Rattus norvegicus: one gene and its partners. Each later gene encodes a partner of the first gene's protein in a complex. Links are inferred from orthologs where the notes say so. Each region holds a gene or a part of one and is shown on either strand. Other genes may lie near its edges.

Region 1 (3,561 bases):
TATTTAAGCACATTTTCCTTTGCCTTTCATTTTATAGCCACCATTCATTTCTACAAGTACTTAGGTCAGTCTCTATTCCTCTAACCCCTCGTGGTGTGGTTTCCAAAATTCTGTCACAGTTATTTTAATTTTTAAAATTAATTACTTCATGTGTGGGTATTGGTGTACATCTGGGCTATTACCCACAAAGGCTAGAAGAGGGAACTGAACCTGGGTCCTCTAAAGAGTAGTCAGTGCTAACTGCTGAGCCATATCTAACCACTACTTTCTGCATTCCACTCAGGCATCCCCTAATGTCTAAGTAACTTTTAAAATACTAAAACACAATGCAGATGATTGGGCATGGTAACATACACCTGGAATCCCATACTCAGGTGGTTAAGGCAGGAAAGATCCTGTATTCAAGACATTCAAGACCAGCCCTGGTTATATTATCAGACCTCTCTCTCAAAATAAAATAACACAGTACAATTAAGATTACTCCGTGCATTGTCTATAGGTTTCAACACATGCTTAAGGCTTTTGTTTTATAGAACAATTTAGCTGCCCCAAAACATCTCCTGTGTTTCATCTTTTCTACGTTCCCTAGGTCTAGCAAACATTTAACTTTTTACTGTCTTTCCCACAATGTCACCTAGTTGGAATCAGTGTTGCCTTCTCAATATGATTTCTCACACCAAGCAATAAGCATTAAGACCACTCTATGTCTTCACAATAGGTCATCTTTTTTATCACTGAATATTCCAGATAGAGAGAGATAGAAGGAAAAACACGTAAGAGACACAGAACAGGAATCTTTCTCTGACTTGGTCATTAACATACTCCAAGTGCAAAGCAGTACCTCTCTGTCATACTCCAAACAACAAACACTCGTTGAGTGACATAATGTGCTAGGAAACAACACAAAAACTAGGAAAGGTACTCAAGGCTCCAGACTCTATGTTTTCTATAGAGCACAGGACGAAGTAGGAATAGGTGAGACATCAAGAGTCCAGAAGGCAGCAAGTTAAAGTCAGCACAACAGGAGCTAAATTTTAGTCTTTAAAACAAAACAAAGTCCCAAAACCAACAACAACAAAAACATGTCTTAAATCCCACATAAATTAATGAATGAGAGGCTAACAAAGCTGGCACGGCTGCCTCAAGTGAAATCCACAATGGAACTTAGAAAGCCGACTACTCACTGCTACAGACTTCACAGCTTTAATAAGCTTTTTACTTTCCAAATTCTTGAGAATTTTGTTGATTTCTGTTAATGGCAAGTTGCTTTTGTACCGAATATCTCTGCTCCATATTCCTGTAAGAAAGTAGGAAAGCTGACAGCACTTCATTTAATATAAAGTTTAGAACTGTTCTCAGAAACTAAAACCCGAGAAACAAAACAAAACACACAACTGGGATAAAGAAAGACTACAAGAGCCAGTCATAAAGTGTCTGCTTTACATTCTAACTGAACATTTCTCAGAATCTTGGTGTGGTTTGTTTGTTTGGGTTTTCTTGTTTTGTGTTGTTTGTTTTTTGAGAGGGCCTCACTATGCAGCGGCTATACAGACCATCCTGGGGTGTGCACACAGTGGGGAGGAATACAAAAATTTAGCTGTTTCAATGCAGCATGTACACCTACTATTTAAACAACATTCTATTTGTAAGACAGAAAAAAAAAAAGCTATGATTCTTACATTCAATAAATACCCATTGTGGGAATTTATGAGTTTTCTTTCAAACAAAGAAAGTTGTACACGAAGAAAGAGACTATGTATCAAACATAAATGCTTAGCTTCATGTAGTAACATGCTTGCAATCCCAGCAATCAGGAAGACAAGGCAAGAAGATACTGAGTAGGAAAGCCTGGTCTACATGATGGGACCCTCTCTTAAAAAATAAAATGAACAGAGCAACACAACTTTAGGTCTAGACCTAAAGACAAAGCATCGCCCTCCACATGCTCACCTTTATTCCCTGCATCCTCTATGATTTGGTAGACTAGCTTTTCCTGGTTATCGGACCCCTTCATTTTACTGCAGGGAATAAAGCAGAGTAAAAAAGGAAAAATTGTAGGCTATGTTATCATCTGCATGACTACTTAATTAGCAGACAAGGCTATCACACTGACTGATTTAGCAAAAGAAGGGCTTACCTTAAAAAGAATGAAAAAGAGCTGTGTGTACCAATATGAAAAGATGTCCAAAGTACAATAAATTAAAAAAACAAGTTACAGGACACTATGGATATAGCATGATCCAGTCTTAAAAAAAAGAAAAGGAAAAAAGCGATAACATATAAATATAGAATCGCCCATGAATATTTAAATCTATCTAGAAGAAATTACCTAGAGCAGTTACTCTGAGAAACTGAAGCACAGGACAAAAGGCAGGGGTGACGCGTTTACATCAGTTTCTTCTGTGTCTTTCAACATATAGTCTAAATTGTCTTTAACCTCATCATCACCCTGCCTCAGCCCCCATGTGTCAAGTCTATAGGTGTGTACCACATACTGAGCTACATTACGTACATACAGTCTCACATCGCTCAGGCTGGCCCTGAACTTTCTGCCCTGCTTCCCAAGTGCAGGCATATTGGTGTGTACCACAATACCCGTTACAATGTTACCAATTACTTTTGTAATAAACAAATTTTTCTAAAAATTAAAAAAATAGTTGCTTACTTACCCAGCATTCTGAGAATCCTTTATTCTATATAAAAGGCCTGTATTACTCCGTAAAAGATCCAACTGACCCTAAAGTGTTTTAAAATAGAAAATTGTAATCAATTACTCTGGAAATATATCAATTCTGATGGCAAGTGTTACCACAGTTTTAAATGTGTTGATTATACCCACTAAACTGTTCTGCCTCCCACGCTTGTCAGTTCTTCATCTGAGACTGGGGATTTGCTTACACACCTCAAACAAGGTATTTTTAAAAACTAATATAAGGATAGTTCAAGCAAGAGATACTAATAGTGTCCCACATACTAAGTTGGCTTTGTTATTTGGCCAAGGCACAAACATGTTTTTAAAACAGTCTATTGTATTCCTTAGTCAGGGGTGATGGTGGTGATGGTGTGGCACACGCCTTTAATCCCAGGGCTCAGGAGGCAGATGCAGGCAGATCTGAGTTTTAGGCCAGCCTAGTCTATAGAGTGAGTTCCTGGACAGCCAAGGCTATACAGAGAAACTCTGTCTCAGGGGAAAAATTATTCTATTTCTTAATGTATTTTGCTAGCATATATGTCTGTGCACCATGTGTATACAATGCTCATGGAGGCCATAAGAAGGCATTGAGGGCTGGAGAGATGGCTCAGTGGCTAAGACTGCTCTTCCTGTTCAATTCTCAGCAACCACATGGTGGCTCACAACCATCTGTAATGGGGATCTGAGGTCCTCTTCTGGTGTGTCTGAAGAGAGCGACAGTGTACTCATATACATGAAATAAATAAATAAATAAATAAATAAATAAATAAATAAATAAGACAAACCATCCTGTATGTGGGTATTAGAAATCCAACTCAGGTTTCTGTAAGAGCAGCAAATGATCTTAACCTGGGGGATGAGGAGACAGC
Region 2 (4,152 bases), on another chromosome or scaffold:
TACCAGCCGATTTCCCTGCTTGCATTCCTTCCTCTCTGAATCATTTTGTGGTGGGGCTCTCCAAGGCAGTAGCCTGTCTTCTATGAGTCTATCTCTGAAGCCTTGGCTTTGAACGACCCTCTTTCCACACACCTCAAACACTCCTGGCTTTGGGACGCCTCTTTGTCCATGTTAGTCATTCTCCTGTCTATGCTAGAGTCTAAACAGAGTGTGTCATAGTGATTTATGCCCTGCACTGGTCCCCTTACTGGGTTCTCAGCTAGCATGGAGAGTGTGTATTATTCATGTCTGAATCACCAGTGCCTGAGGGGGGAGGCAATCATTGTAAGATGGTTGACCGACTAACACCATGAACACCATTGTGGGACACACACACACACACACACACACACACACACACACACACACTGGTTTTTATGAGACAGGGTTCTCATGTAGCCTCAGGTGGCCTCAAACTCCCCATGTAGCTGAAGAGGATTATGAAAAACTGACTTTCTCGCCTCCATCTCCAAAGTGGAGGGATTACAGGTATGTGTCATCATACCAGACACCACCCCCCACTTACCAAAAAACAAAACAAAACAAAACTCAAACACAATCACCCGCAAACCATTTTAACATGGCTGAGCAGTGGGGGCTCACACCTTTAATCTCAGCACTGGGAGGCAGAGGCAGGCAGATCTCTGAGTTTGAAAGGCTAAGTAATGAAAATCTGTCTTCCCCATCCCAAATTTTAACGGTTGTATGGGGAAAAGGATCTCTACGTAGTCTAAATTGACTAGAACTCACCATGTTGCCCAGACTGTCTTCAAACTCAAGGCATTCCCCCTGCCTCAGCCTCCTAAGTGCTTAAACTATCTCTCCAGCTCTGTCTCTGTCTTTTGAGACTGGGTTTCTCTGCCTCCCTCTTTCCCCCTTGCTGGAATTAGAGGATTGTGCGACCATACCTGGCTTCTGTTTTTTGTTTTTTTAAACACAAGGTCTCAAACAGCTTCGGATGGCTTGAAAGTAATTAGGTAGGTCAGGCTGGCCAGAAACTCATGACAATTCTCCTGTCTCGGCCTCTCTAGTGCTAGGATTACAGGTGTGGGGCTGCATGCCTGGTTTAGGGATTTTTAACGTGGCCAAGGCAAACCCTAACAAAACCTACACTATGAAAACACCCGACAAGCTGAAATTAGACCAAGGTAGGAACACCTAGAATTAAGGAGGATCCGGGCGAGCCCTGCAGCGATCCCGGCATGCACCACGGCGGTCCCAGAGTGCCTTGCGGCACACACACAGAAACGGTGAGCAGAGCAGAGCTGGCGTAACGTGAGGTTCTTCTCTTCCAGCGGTTGTGTACGACGAGGCAGAGGCAACATGGAAGTGTAAGCGACACGTCCAGGGGAAAGCAGAATCAGCTGGGGACTGTGAGGCGGCTGGCGGCTAGACCTCCGGACCCGCGAGCAGGGCGGGTGGGCGGGGTGCACGGACCGGAAGTGCATGGAGGTGGGGCGGCAGGGGAGGGACCCTGCTGGTGTTGGAACCCGCTCTCCTCCGGTATCTTTTGGGGAGGGGAATGTTGGAAGGATAGAGAGGGGTTTTATTTTTTCTCTTTCTTCTGGTTCTGGGAATGAAACCCAAGACCTTGCACGTGCTCTGGAAGTAGTGTGACCCTGAGATGCGTGCCAGTCACAATCATCTTGTGATGTGGGCTCTGCATGTGCTCGGGGAAACACTCTACCACTGAGTCAGATCCCCAGCCATCAGCACCGCCATCATTGTTTTGTAATGGTGGAAATGGTACCCAGGACTTTGCTAGGCAAAGCCTTTGCCACTGACCTGCATCGCCATCCGTTATCGCCGTGTTCTTTTGGAAATTGGTACCCAGGGTCGTGAAAGTACTGGCTGTGCTAGTTTTCTTTCAGTTACTGTGACAAACACCATGACCAAAAGTAATCTAGGGGTAGAAAGGGTTTATTACATCTTAAACTTCCAGGACACAGTTCATTATGGAGGGAAGTCAGGGCAAGAACTCAGACAGGAAACTGAAGCTTCAGACCAGTTCAAGAACTCTCTCTGGTTTACTCTCTGTGTTTTCTAACTTCTTTATGAAGCAGTCCATGGATGGTGGCACCTGCCGCGGTCTGTATAACCCCTCATCCCTTTTATTTTTTATTTCTATTTATTTGGGGGGGGGTGTTGGGGCTTGCGTAGTCGTGGCTTTCCTGGAACTAGCTCTGTCGATCAGGCTATCCTTCAACTCCCAGAGATAGGCCTGCCTCTCCCTCCCAAGTGCTGGGATTAAAGGCCTGTGCCACCATCAGTTGGCCAGGCGGTACCCTCCTGCATCATTTAATAATCGGGACAGTCCCTCGTGGACACGCCCATAGAACAACTTGGTAAAAGACAGTTTATCATTGAGGCTTCTTTAGAGGATTCTAGGCTGTTTCAAGTTGACAGTTAAGATTAACCAGGAAAGCAGGCAAGGTTTTCTCCCCCTCCCCCCAGACAAAGTTTCACTGTAGAGCACTGGCTGTCCTGGAACAAGCTCTTTAGACCAGGCTGGCCTTGAACTCAGATATCCACCTGCCTCTGTCCTCGGAGGCATGGACTAAAGGCATGTAATACTCCTACCTGGCAACTAGGCAAATTCCTGAGATATTTCTCCAGCTGTTGTTGGGATAGCCTCTTCTTCTTTCTCTTCCTCCTCATTTGGTGGTGTTGGGAACGGTACCCACGGTCTTTTTTTTTTTCCTTTAAAGATTTATTTATTTATGGGGTTGGGGATTTAGCTCAGTGGTAGAGCGCTTGCTAGACAAGAAAAGAAAAAAAAAGATATATTTATTTATTATATACAAATACACTGTAGCTGTCTTCAGACACACCAGAAGAGGGCATCAGATCTCATTACAGATGGTTGTGAGCCCCCATGTGGTAGCTGGGAACTGAACTCATGACCTCTGGAAGAACAGTCAGTGGTTTTTTGTTTTTTGTGTCCTGTCCCCCCCCCCCCCCCAGCTGAGAACCGAACCCAGGGCCTTGCGCTTGCTAGGCAAGCGCTCTACCACTGAGCTAAATCCCCAAGCCATAGTCAGTGCTCTTAACCACTAAGCCATCTCTCCAGCTCCAGTACCCACGGTCTTGCACATGCTTAACACACACCTTCCACAACATTATTATCACTATTATTATTATTACTACTATTATTATTAGGTGGTGCTAGGGATAGAACTTAGGGATGCTAGACAGGTACTTTACCACTAAGCCACACACACCCCATTATCATATCGTGGTGTTTGGGATGGAAGGGACCTGAGCATGCTAGACAGTCACTCTACCAACAACAAAGCCACCCTAACAGTTTATTTTTCCATAAAGAAAATATTTCTTGATGGGCAAATGAAGTTTTTGAATATACTCCACCTGCGGACTTTATATGTACACAGTTGACATACCTAAATTGTGTTGTTATTCATGTTTCTTTGTCTTCTGCTCAATTGTTATATAGATACTATAGTTGGTCAGACTTTTTTTTTTTGGAGACAGAGTCATAAGTAGCCCAGGCTGGCTTTGAACTTGGCTATGTAGCTGAGGATGATGGAATTCTGATGCCCTGTCTTCACCTCAAGCCACATTAGATTAGCCATTCGGTCTCTGAGATGGGGGTCTCTGACTGGGTAGCTCAGGCTCAGTCTGGTTAAGCTTTCTCCATCTCTGGGTAGCTGGTGTCAGAAACCGTGGAAAGTGTCAGCTCTCTAACACGCCCCGGCTCTCCTACATCTTGCTGCTTGGTGTCCTTTTCTCCTTCCTCCTCCTCCTTTGCTGTCTAAATGTTGAACGCCTTAGTGCTTCATCTTGGGACACTTCCTTTGCACTTCCTTTGCATGTATTCTCAGTCACTACTCATTTTTATGATGGCGGTTCCTCAAAAACATTTCTGACCTTTTTTTGTCAGGTTGCTTACATTAAAATGTATCTTGTTTTCCTTTCCAGTCATTAGACAGTCTGTTACCTACTTTTTCCTTTTTTCCTACGGTAGGGTCTCATGTTATCCAGGGTTAGCCTTGAACTTGATATGTACTCAGGAGGACCTTAAGCTTTTCTCATCCTCCTGCCTCTACTCTCCCAGTGCTGTTCCTATTGGTATATGATACCTTGCCCTGTTTA
Region 3 (4,361 bases), about 37 Mb from region 1:
ATTTTCTGGATCATCCTGTGAGGGATGTTGTTGAAGTCCTGTTCTGGGCATGGGTTGTAGTTTGCATTCTTCACACTTCTGTCAAGAATCCTTGCAAAGATAATGATGGGTCTCCCACCTGTACTGAGCTGCTTCTCAGTTCCTAGTAAAATAATGATCAGAGCCCCTAAATTATCCCCCCAAGAATCCCTCAAAGAAACATGCAGAGTTAACCAACAGAGACTTGAGCTGGGGCTCCATGCTTTAGCCTCTTCACCTGCAAATATTTGGGAACAAGGAGACACAAGTGACTAGGAAAAGTGTGCATGTGTTGCGCATGGGCCTCCAGAATCTACATGGTAGACCTCAGGCTATTACTGGAATACCTACCATCCAGCTGTTTTAGATCAGCTCTTCAGGACTAAGGTTGGAAGCTGGAGGTTCATTGTTGCAGGCTTTTTCTTTATCATACCATGAACTCTGGGATTGTGTTTACTGGAAAAACCTGTTTCTAGTTGTGGTGTGACTCGGCCCTTGGCACACAACCTTTAATCCCGCTGGCTGGAATACAGACACGCCCTTAGAATGCTCCTTTAATGCCCAACAATGAAGGTCAGGTTAGATTGTAGAAGGTATCACCCATATTTGAAAATGATGTCTAGGGCTGGAGATATGGCTCAGTGGTTCACTGACTGTTCTTCCAGAAGTCCTGAGTTCAAATCCCAGTAACCACATCTCATCTCGTCTGTAATGAGATCTGATGCCCTCTTCTGGTGTGTCTGAGGATAGCTACAGTGTACTTTAAATAAATAAATCATTTTTTTTAAAAGTGATGTTTGAGTGTCCGACAAAGTGGGGAATTAGAGAGTTTTTTTTTTGTTTTTTTTGTTTTGTTTTGTTTTGTTTTTTTGTACAGAATAGGGTATGCCCAACTCTCATGAGAGAGAAGGAGGCAGTTTTCCTGGGACAGTTTTTACAGAGAACAAACTAGACACAGATGAAGACAGAATGTGCCAGAAGATTAGAACAGATTGTCAAAGTTAGTATGAGGCCAAGCAGAGCAATTGAGGAAAGGCTGAGAGAGAGAAGCCAAATTCAATCAGTTTGAGCCGGAACAGCTGAGTTGAACCAGCCAACCAGCGCTCAGAACTAGAAGGGGTGCGCTTATTCCGCAGTGAGTCTCAGAAGCTGAAAACCTTCTAGGCCTGAATTAGATTTTACAGAGGGTAGAAGTTTCCAGGCCTAGATACTGCAGCTCAGCAGCACCTCATCACCCAGTCCGGCTCACCACCATCAGGCTCCCCAGGTGCTGCCATCTGCCGGCACCATTAGTTTGCGTTTCAGCTAGGGAGATGTGCGCACGCGCAGAAGCTACACGGACAGCGAGTGCAGACAGCATGCAATTGGCTGGATGGGGAAGGGTCATCGGCGGTGACCAATGGCATGCGCGAGGCTGCCCGCCGCAGTGCCTACCGGGAACGTGTTGCCGATCGCCGGTTGCCCGTAACGGAGGAAGGGAGACGGCTTCAGATTGGGCGCCTGAACCTCGGCAGCGCCACACAGAGCCGCCGTGTGGGAGCTGAGCAATGCTGCTGTTCTGCCCGGGCTGCGGGAACGGCCTCATTGTGGAGGAGGGGCAGCGCTGTCACCGCTTCGCCTGCAACACGTGCCCGTACGTCCATAACATCACCCGCAAGGTGAGGTCCACAGGCCGGAGCTCTCCCTGCGGTCCGCGGGGCCCAGGGCAGGCGTCGGCGCGCTCGGACCTCCCCGCTGCCCGCTCAGAAATTGTGCGAATTTTAGTTCATCCCCCTACGCTGGACCTCGCAGATTCCAGTCCGCTCCTCACCTCTGATTTCAAATCCTCGGGTTCTTTAGTTGCTCGTTTGCTCCCATCCCCTATCTTGATTCCTGAGAATCTTCTTGCACGCAGTGCTGTCAGGTTCTTCCCTCCGCCCGAGTCGGTCTTCCCTGAATAACTACGCAGAGTGACGCACTTCTCGTTCTCGTCTCCCTCTTCCCCCGTCTCTGGTGCATGTGTGCCTCCCTGTTTCTCTCTCCCTCTCCTCTTTTAAAATAATGGCTGCCTTATTTAAATGTCAGCCCGTGCGGCTGTTTGTGCACCTATAATTCTAGCACTCGGCAGGAGAATAGGTTCAAGGCTCATCTGGGCTGCATAGCACACACAGAGCACAGAAAAGCCAAACCCAGTTCTTTCTGTTTATCCTCATTCCCTTAAGGTTTTCACAGAATTCATTGTCTTCTAATGTTTTATATCGTTGTTGCTACTTTGTGTGTGTAGTGCTTGTGTTGGAACCCAGCAAGCTGTGTTTCCAGCCCTCGGTGTTTTGTGTACCTTAATTCCCGTTCCTCTTTACCTCCGTGCCTTAGTTCAGTGACTGCAGTTGTGCAGCACTGGGCCTTGGTGACTCCTCGTTCCTAATGTTTGCACATTAGAGCTGTGTGGTAGGGGTTTAGAGTCAGGATTTGTGGTAAGATGAATTGTGACAGAATTTCTAATTTCCAGGGATGCCTGATAAACATAGGAAAGCATCCAAATGTGACCTGGGGTGCTGGTATACCCAGCTAAGTGACTTCATTTGTCTGTCTTTCCTGTTGGATTATTAGGTGTCCTAGGGGTATGAGAGAAGAGCAAGGTTTTACTAGGCTGTTTTTTCCTTTCAGTTCTGTCTGGTGTTTCCTTCGGTCTCTAGAGGTCTGAACCTCTAGAACCTCTGTTCTGTTTGGAGGAACATCCGAGTCACAAAACCCCTACATTTTAGTGACTCACACTGCTCTTTGAAGAAGACAAATTTTGTAGAGGAAATGCTGGAGGGAGTTGTGGCTTAGTGACCGACTTGTAAAACTGTACAATTACTTCCAATCTGGTGGCTTGTGTCTGTTAGGTAACAAACCGAAAGTATCCAAAGCTAAAAGAAGTGGATGATGTGCTTGGTGGAGCAGCTGCCTGGGAGAATGTGGACTCTACTGCAGGTGAGGATTTTCCCGTAACAGAGCCAGTGACTCAACCTTGTTTGTTATTACTTATTATTATATTTTATATTTATATTGTTTCGCTAGTTTGTGTGTGTGGTGCTTGTGTTGGAACCCAGAAAGCTGTATTTCCAGCCCTCGGTGTTTAATACTAATAATAAACTTAGTATTATAATGCAGTCCTGTCTGTTATTAGGGCCAGCAAGATACCCTGGTAAAAGCACTTGTTGCCAGATCTGTTAGCCTGAGTTTGATTCTTGGAGCCCAGATAGTAGGAGAGAACTGACTCATGGGAAGATTTTGTACCACCCTCCATGCACACATGGGCGTGCACAAGTGTAAAAGAACTTAAGAAGATGTAAATAACAATGTAATATCAAATAGCTAGTGCATGAAATATTTTGGTGATGTGTTTTAATTACAGTGTAGGCACTCTAAAGTCTTTTACATTTTTGTTGTTGTTAATTGATTTTGTTTTTTTGAGACCTGGTTTCACTGTGTAGCTCTGAGTGTCTTGACCTCGGAGATCCACCTGTCTGCCTCCCACATGCTGGTACTAAAGTATCTGCCACTGACACCTGGCTGTAATAACATTTTTTTAAAAGTAGATTCTTTCAAGGATTCTTTAAAGCAAAGTTACTATAGTGATACCTGAACCGTTGTTTCATTTAGAGTCTCAAGTCCGATGTGGACAAGTATAATTAAAAAATAAATCTGGCAAATATTCTCTTTTTGAAGCAAATTTAGAGTTCATTACAAAAAATTTCAGCATTGATTTATATATAGTTGTTGGGAAGGGGGGATCCATGCTCTAGTGGGTGTGGACTTCTCATGAAAATTGTGTTGTATGTATTTTCAAATACCAACACTGAGAAAATGATCAGCCCTAGTCTTTTATTTTCATTTCGTTTTATTTTTTATTACATGGATTTAAAAAAATTATAACTGTGGACGAAGGATGGTTGCTCAAGCTTATGATTCCAGTTACGATTCTGGTGCTCTCTGAGTGGAGGCAGAAGGCTCAGTGCTTATCTGGGCTTTTTGAGACCCTGGCTCAGCCATTCTGTCAACCGATAAATAGCTGTGGGGTAGGATTTCAGTGGTTGAGAGCATGGGACTGGGTTTCCTTCCCAACTTCCACCTGGCAGCTCAGACCTTCTGTACTTGTACTTTCAGGTGATCTAATACCCTCTACTTGCATCCAGGGACACTGCATGAACGTGGTGCACAGACTACCCAAAGGCAAAACATGCACATAAAATAATTATAAAAAATTAGGGGGGGGGGTTGATATTTGCAACTGGAGGTATTAAAAAGTAAATGTTTACATCTTGATTTGTTTGATAAATTTAAATGTGATAATGGAATGAGAGAAAATGGCCTAGTAC
Region 4 (4,286 bases), on another chromosome or scaffold:
GTAGCAGACCTGCAGCTCAGTCTCCACAGCTGCCTTGTCTGGCCTCAGTGAGACAGGATGCACCTAATCTGGCAGAGACTTGATGTGCTGGGGGTGGGGGAAGGGATACCCAGGGGGCCTCCACCCTCCCAGAAGGGGAGACGGGATGAGGGAGTCTCTGTGAGGGAGGGAGCAGGAGGGGGGAGTAGCTTTTGGGATGTAAATAAATAAATCCTAAGGCAAAAAATATAAAATTGATATACCAAGTATTGCTGTTGTCGCTAACCAGTTCAATTAGTGCAGTCCTGCATGGGGAGAAGGGGATTGGGACCCTACTCTATCTTGCTCCATTTTATCAATTTCTTAGGACCAAGAGAATGAAGTCTGCATTAATTAATGCACACACTTTATCCATGGGAAACAACTCCCTTATTGATCGTTCTTAGGCCTCGCTCTCATCCAGACCAGATAGCTGTCATAATTCTACGTTCATGTCCACCATCAAGCCTTTTTTCTTTTTGAGAGGCAATAAGCAAACAAATCCATCTGAAAGGTAAGGATGGACGAAAGCTCTCTAAGTCTACAGGTGAGACTGAGGCACTCTGCGGTGAGCAGTGCGCAGGCAGCAGAAGTCAGCAGTTTTCAGAGCACAGAGCCTAACACTCTCCACAAGGTGCCATATCTTAAAAGCCTACTCGTTACAAAAGCTGGAAATGTTCAACTGGTACTTGGGAAAAGAATGGAATATCTCCAGTCACAAGTCTCTGCAGTGTAACTACCGTAGCCGACTGACTGGGGATGGTGTGAGCTTTCAAATAAACAGCCACACAGTAGCAGCGCGCATCTCCTGGCAGAGAAGACTGAGTGGGCCTAGGCTCTGCCCAAGCTGGCTTTCACGCAGCAAAGGGTGAGTCAGAGTATTCCCGCACGGTAGCCCAACAGTGCCACGGAGGTCTGCAACAAGCTGTACACGCTCGCCAAGCCCCTCCCTCAGAGACAGCGCGCGCCCCCGGGACCTATTACCATCCTGCAGAATGAGGGTGGGTTGCACTGCCTGCACTCGGAATTGCCTGGCCCTCCAGCCAGGGCTGGGCGCCCGCACCACCTCGCTGTCAGAGAGCCAGGTCACGGTCTCAAAGTTGTCCCCGCGAGCCAGGGCCTCGGCTTCGGCGCGGTGCACAGCCACCTGGTCGAACTGATAGAGCCCGCCGGAGTGATCAAAGTGCACGTGGGTGGCCACGGCCAGCAGCGGCCGACGTCCTGCATCCTCTTTGGCACCACAATCCTGCAAGAGGCCGGAGGAGTAGAGGTACTCCGGGAGGCTGCGTAGCCCCAGGCCCGTGTCGATCACCACGTCCTGCTCCGAGCCGCGCACCAGCCAGATGTTGGCCCGGTTGCCTGACTCGTAGAACCGTTCTTGAATCCAGAAGATGCCATCGCCCAGAGACTTGTGGGCATACCACTCGAGTGCCGACATGCCGATGCGCAGGGGTGCGGCCGGGCAAGGTGGGTGTGCCTCCCACAGGCAGTCCAGGACTCGCCGCTGCTGCAGTGAGCGAAGAGCTACTCTCAGCTCCGGAGGAGGCGCGATCGAGGGGCGGGGATGCGGAAGGGAGCGCGGATAGGACGCAGCGACACTGCCCAGATCGCCTGTTCCTCGCCCTCCCGTCCAAGCCGCAGAGCGCAAAGACTGCACCCCAGCTGCCGCAGCTTCTGCAGCTGCAGCACCAAGGCGGTGACACAGGCCGCTGAAGCGGGGCGGAGACACCGGGCAATGCTGCCCTGCTCGGGGTTCCGACTGCAGAGGCCTGGAGGGATGCGTGGGAAGAGACAGGACCGCCCCCACACGGGCCGCGGGCGCTGCGCACTCGTAGCGGGAGGCCAGAGTGAGGCCGAGCCAGTTGGAGGTTGACTACGGCGCCTGCCAAGGGCTAAAAAGCTCCTTTCCGGGGGTGTGGCCTCGTAGAGTGGGCGGGGCTTCCAGTGCGCTACCCTGAGCCGGAGCCGCGTGCGGTGAGGTTCTCGCTGTTCCGGAGGTGGAATCTGCTGCTCCTTGCTGGCGCGACTGCCAGCTTTCCTGCCACCATCGCTGCACAGTGTGCCCAAGCCTCGAGACTTGGTGAGAAGGTAACTGGAAACTATCCCGGACTGGGCTGGAGGTGAAGAGGGTAGAAGGGAGTTGATGGGGCACGTGGAGAACGTGGTGGTCCGATAATCTGGAGCCAAAATTCATCAAAGCCCCTCTGGAGTGACTTTGGGCTGTACCCCTACCTCCCAAAGCCTGCTGCTGCCGGCTTCCAAACCTTTAAAAGTTTTGGTAGCCAGATCTTCCAGCCTCACGCTGGAAGTTTATCCTTTTACAAGAGAAGACTTTGCAAATCCGGGGACTGTGGTTTTTGTTCATGTAAAGTTTGGCGGCAGTTTGGCTAATAAGGGCATACTTATCATCGCTTCTTTTTTCTTAACTGTTGGCACCTTTGATAGTGGGGAGAGGGGCTGGTGATAGAATTTTTCTTTAAGGAGATCCTAAATGCCCGTCATAGTTCTGGGTGTTTCCTTGCTCTTTGAAGAGAGCAGAAAAGGTTAGAGCTTAAGGCAAGGCAGAGATCACTTTGAGGGGACAGGGAAAGTGGATAATCACTGGGTGTGGCCTTGCAAGCAACCGAAATCACCCCCACTGTCAGTATCAAGTCCCTGTGCTTGCACCCCAACCATTAGCTACCGATGCATCTCTTTCAGATTCAGAAATTCCCTTGAGAATTTGACTAACCTTCAGAAATTATAAAGAGACCCACGGGGACAGCATTATCAAAGATAATTAGCAAAATCCTTCCTGTGGCACATAAGTCTTTCCTGGAGGGAGAGATGCATTCTTCCTACACTCCCAAACTCTCCAGTGGGTGTGGGAGCAGGTCGCTGCTCTTTTGAGTATTTTGCTAATCTCATCTATTATTCAATTATGCAATTGGGACCATTCTTAGCACTAGTGCCTGAACTAAATGATGTGTGACAAGCAGAAAACTGTTTAAAGAAAAGTCTGATTTGAGTTCTCAAGAATCTGAGGAAGCTGACACTTGTACACAAATACTTGTTAACTAATGCATCATGAATGCAAAAATTGGGTTCTGCCTAAGAAGGTGTTCTCCACAGAGAAACACAGTGCCCTCTTTACTTTATGCTTCTGCGGCAGAAGGGAGGCACTCGGTAAGATGGCACAGTGTTGTTCTGTGGTCATGAGCTCAGAAATAATTCAGTGATGATTATCCAGCTTGTGCCTAGCTCTAGAGGCCTTTGGACCTACAGTTTCTGATGACTCTTTTATTCTTTTCAATATGACTCTGTTTCTCATCTTAATTAAATTTATGCTCAGATAGTCCCAAATGACTAGTTTATCTGGCCTGGTTCCTGCTTCACTTTCACACCATCTGTCAGGCTCTGACAGGTTCTCCTGTCCGTGAACTCCATAAGCGCAGAGACATTATTTTGTTCACCTCTCTATTTCCAGCAGAGAGGATGGTTTGACCCAGAGGTAGGGTTAGGGTTAGGGCTTCATAAAGACGCCAGTGGATGGTCAAAGACTCTCCCTGGGGAGGCAGAAAACCAACAGTCAGTTACTTGGTGAGAAGCAGAAGTTAAATGTCCTGAGCTTTGTTAAACTGAAGAGAACAGTATATCGGAAGTGTAAAGATTTGCCTTCTATTAAATTGACAAGAGTTTGGTTGAGAATGATAGGAATCTGGACATAAAATGTCTAGCATGTTTCAAAGGGTCAGATGAGCAATGCTAAGGCCTGAGCTAATGCAGAAGAAAGGAGAAGACTAGGGAACACACAGCTAATGGTCATTCTTCAGAGAGATACTGTGACCTGGCTTTTGCTGTCTCCCCTGACCTCCAGCTAGTTGAACATTTACTCATCTCCTTAAATGTGTAAGGTTGTGTGTACACGAGGATGATACATTTAAGTCACAATCATAACTCATGACATTTTAGATCTAGGAAGAATTGTAGAGATGAACTCACCATTTTCCAGGTGGTTGTGTTTGGAGATGGTTAGGATAGACTTTGGTCTCTTGAATAACGCCCATTTTTAAATCTCTTGGAACAGATTCCAAATGGGAATTTTGAGGCAGCGTTCTGAGCTGGAAGGGGCAGTGCGAACTTGTCCATGTTGCATTTTAAATTTCAGATTTGGGGGCTGGAAAGATGGCTTAGCAACAAAGAGCTCATGTTACTCTTGTAGGGGATCAGAGTTCAGTTCCTAACAACCACACCAAGTGGCTCACAAGCACCGTTGACCTTAGATCCAG

The links.
Region 2: Polr3f (region 1) and Crcp share a complex: the UniProt entries of both Homo sapiens proteins name them as parts of the RNA polymerase III complex. The link is inferred for Rattus norvegicus from reciprocal best matches to the Homo sapiens genes POLR3F and CRCP.
Region 3: Polr3f (region 1) and Polr3k share a complex: the UniProt entries of both Homo sapiens proteins name them as parts of the RNA polymerase III complex. The link is inferred for Rattus norvegicus from reciprocal best matches to the Homo sapiens genes POLR3F and POLR3K.
Region 4: Polr3f (region 1) and Polr3g share a complex: the UniProt entries of both Homo sapiens proteins name them as parts of the RNA polymerase III complex. The link is inferred for Rattus norvegicus from reciprocal best matches to the Homo sapiens genes POLR3F and POLR3G.

What each region holds. Positions count from the first base shown.
Region 1 is NC_086021.1:152,368,279-152,371,839, reverse strand, and holds part of Polr3f (DNA-directed RNA polymerase III subunit RPC6), read right to left. Parts: intron 2,738-3,561; coding exon 2,670-2,737; intron 2,246-2,669; exon of another isoform or gene 2,138-2,245; intron 2,019-2,137; coding exon 1,951-2,018; intron 1,298-1,950; coding exon 1,185-1,297; intron 1-1,184. UniProt on the Homo sapiens protein: DNA-dependent RNA polymerase catalyzes the transcription of DNA into RNA using the four ribonucleoside triphosphates as substrates.
Region 2 is NC_086030.1:32,292,964-32,297,115, reverse strand, and holds the start of Crcp (DNA-directed RNA polymerase III subunit RPC9), read left to right. Parts: upstream 1-1,348; 5' UTR 1,349-1,362; coding exon 1,363-1,370; intron 1,371-4,152. UniProt on the Homo sapiens protein: DNA-dependent RNA polymerase catalyzes the transcription of DNA into RNA using the four ribonucleoside triphosphates as substrates.
Region 3 is NC_086021.1:189,358,848-189,363,208, forward strand, and holds the start of Polr3k (DNA-directed RNA polymerase III subunit RPC10), read left to right. Parts: upstream 1-1,501; 5' UTR 1,502-1,565; coding exon 1,566-1,676; exon of another isoform or gene 1,677-1,678; intron 1,679-2,885; coding exon 2,886-2,973; intron 2,974-4,361. UniProt on the Homo sapiens protein: Core component of RNA polymerase III (Pol III) which synthesizes small non-coding RNAs using the four ribonucleoside triphosphates as substrates. Can mediate Pol I proofreading of the nascent RNA transcript.
Region 4 is NC_086020.1:13,718,958-13,723,243, reverse strand, and holds the start of Polr3g (DNA-directed RNA polymerase III subunit RPC7), read left to right. Parts: upstream 1-1,456; 5' UTR 1,457-2,106; intron 2,107-4,286. Other genes in the region: acyl-coenzyme A thioesterase MBLAC2, read right to left, coding at 1,003-1,456. UniProt on the Homo sapiens protein: DNA-dependent RNA polymerase catalyzes the transcription of DNA into RNA using the four ribonucleoside triphosphates as substrates.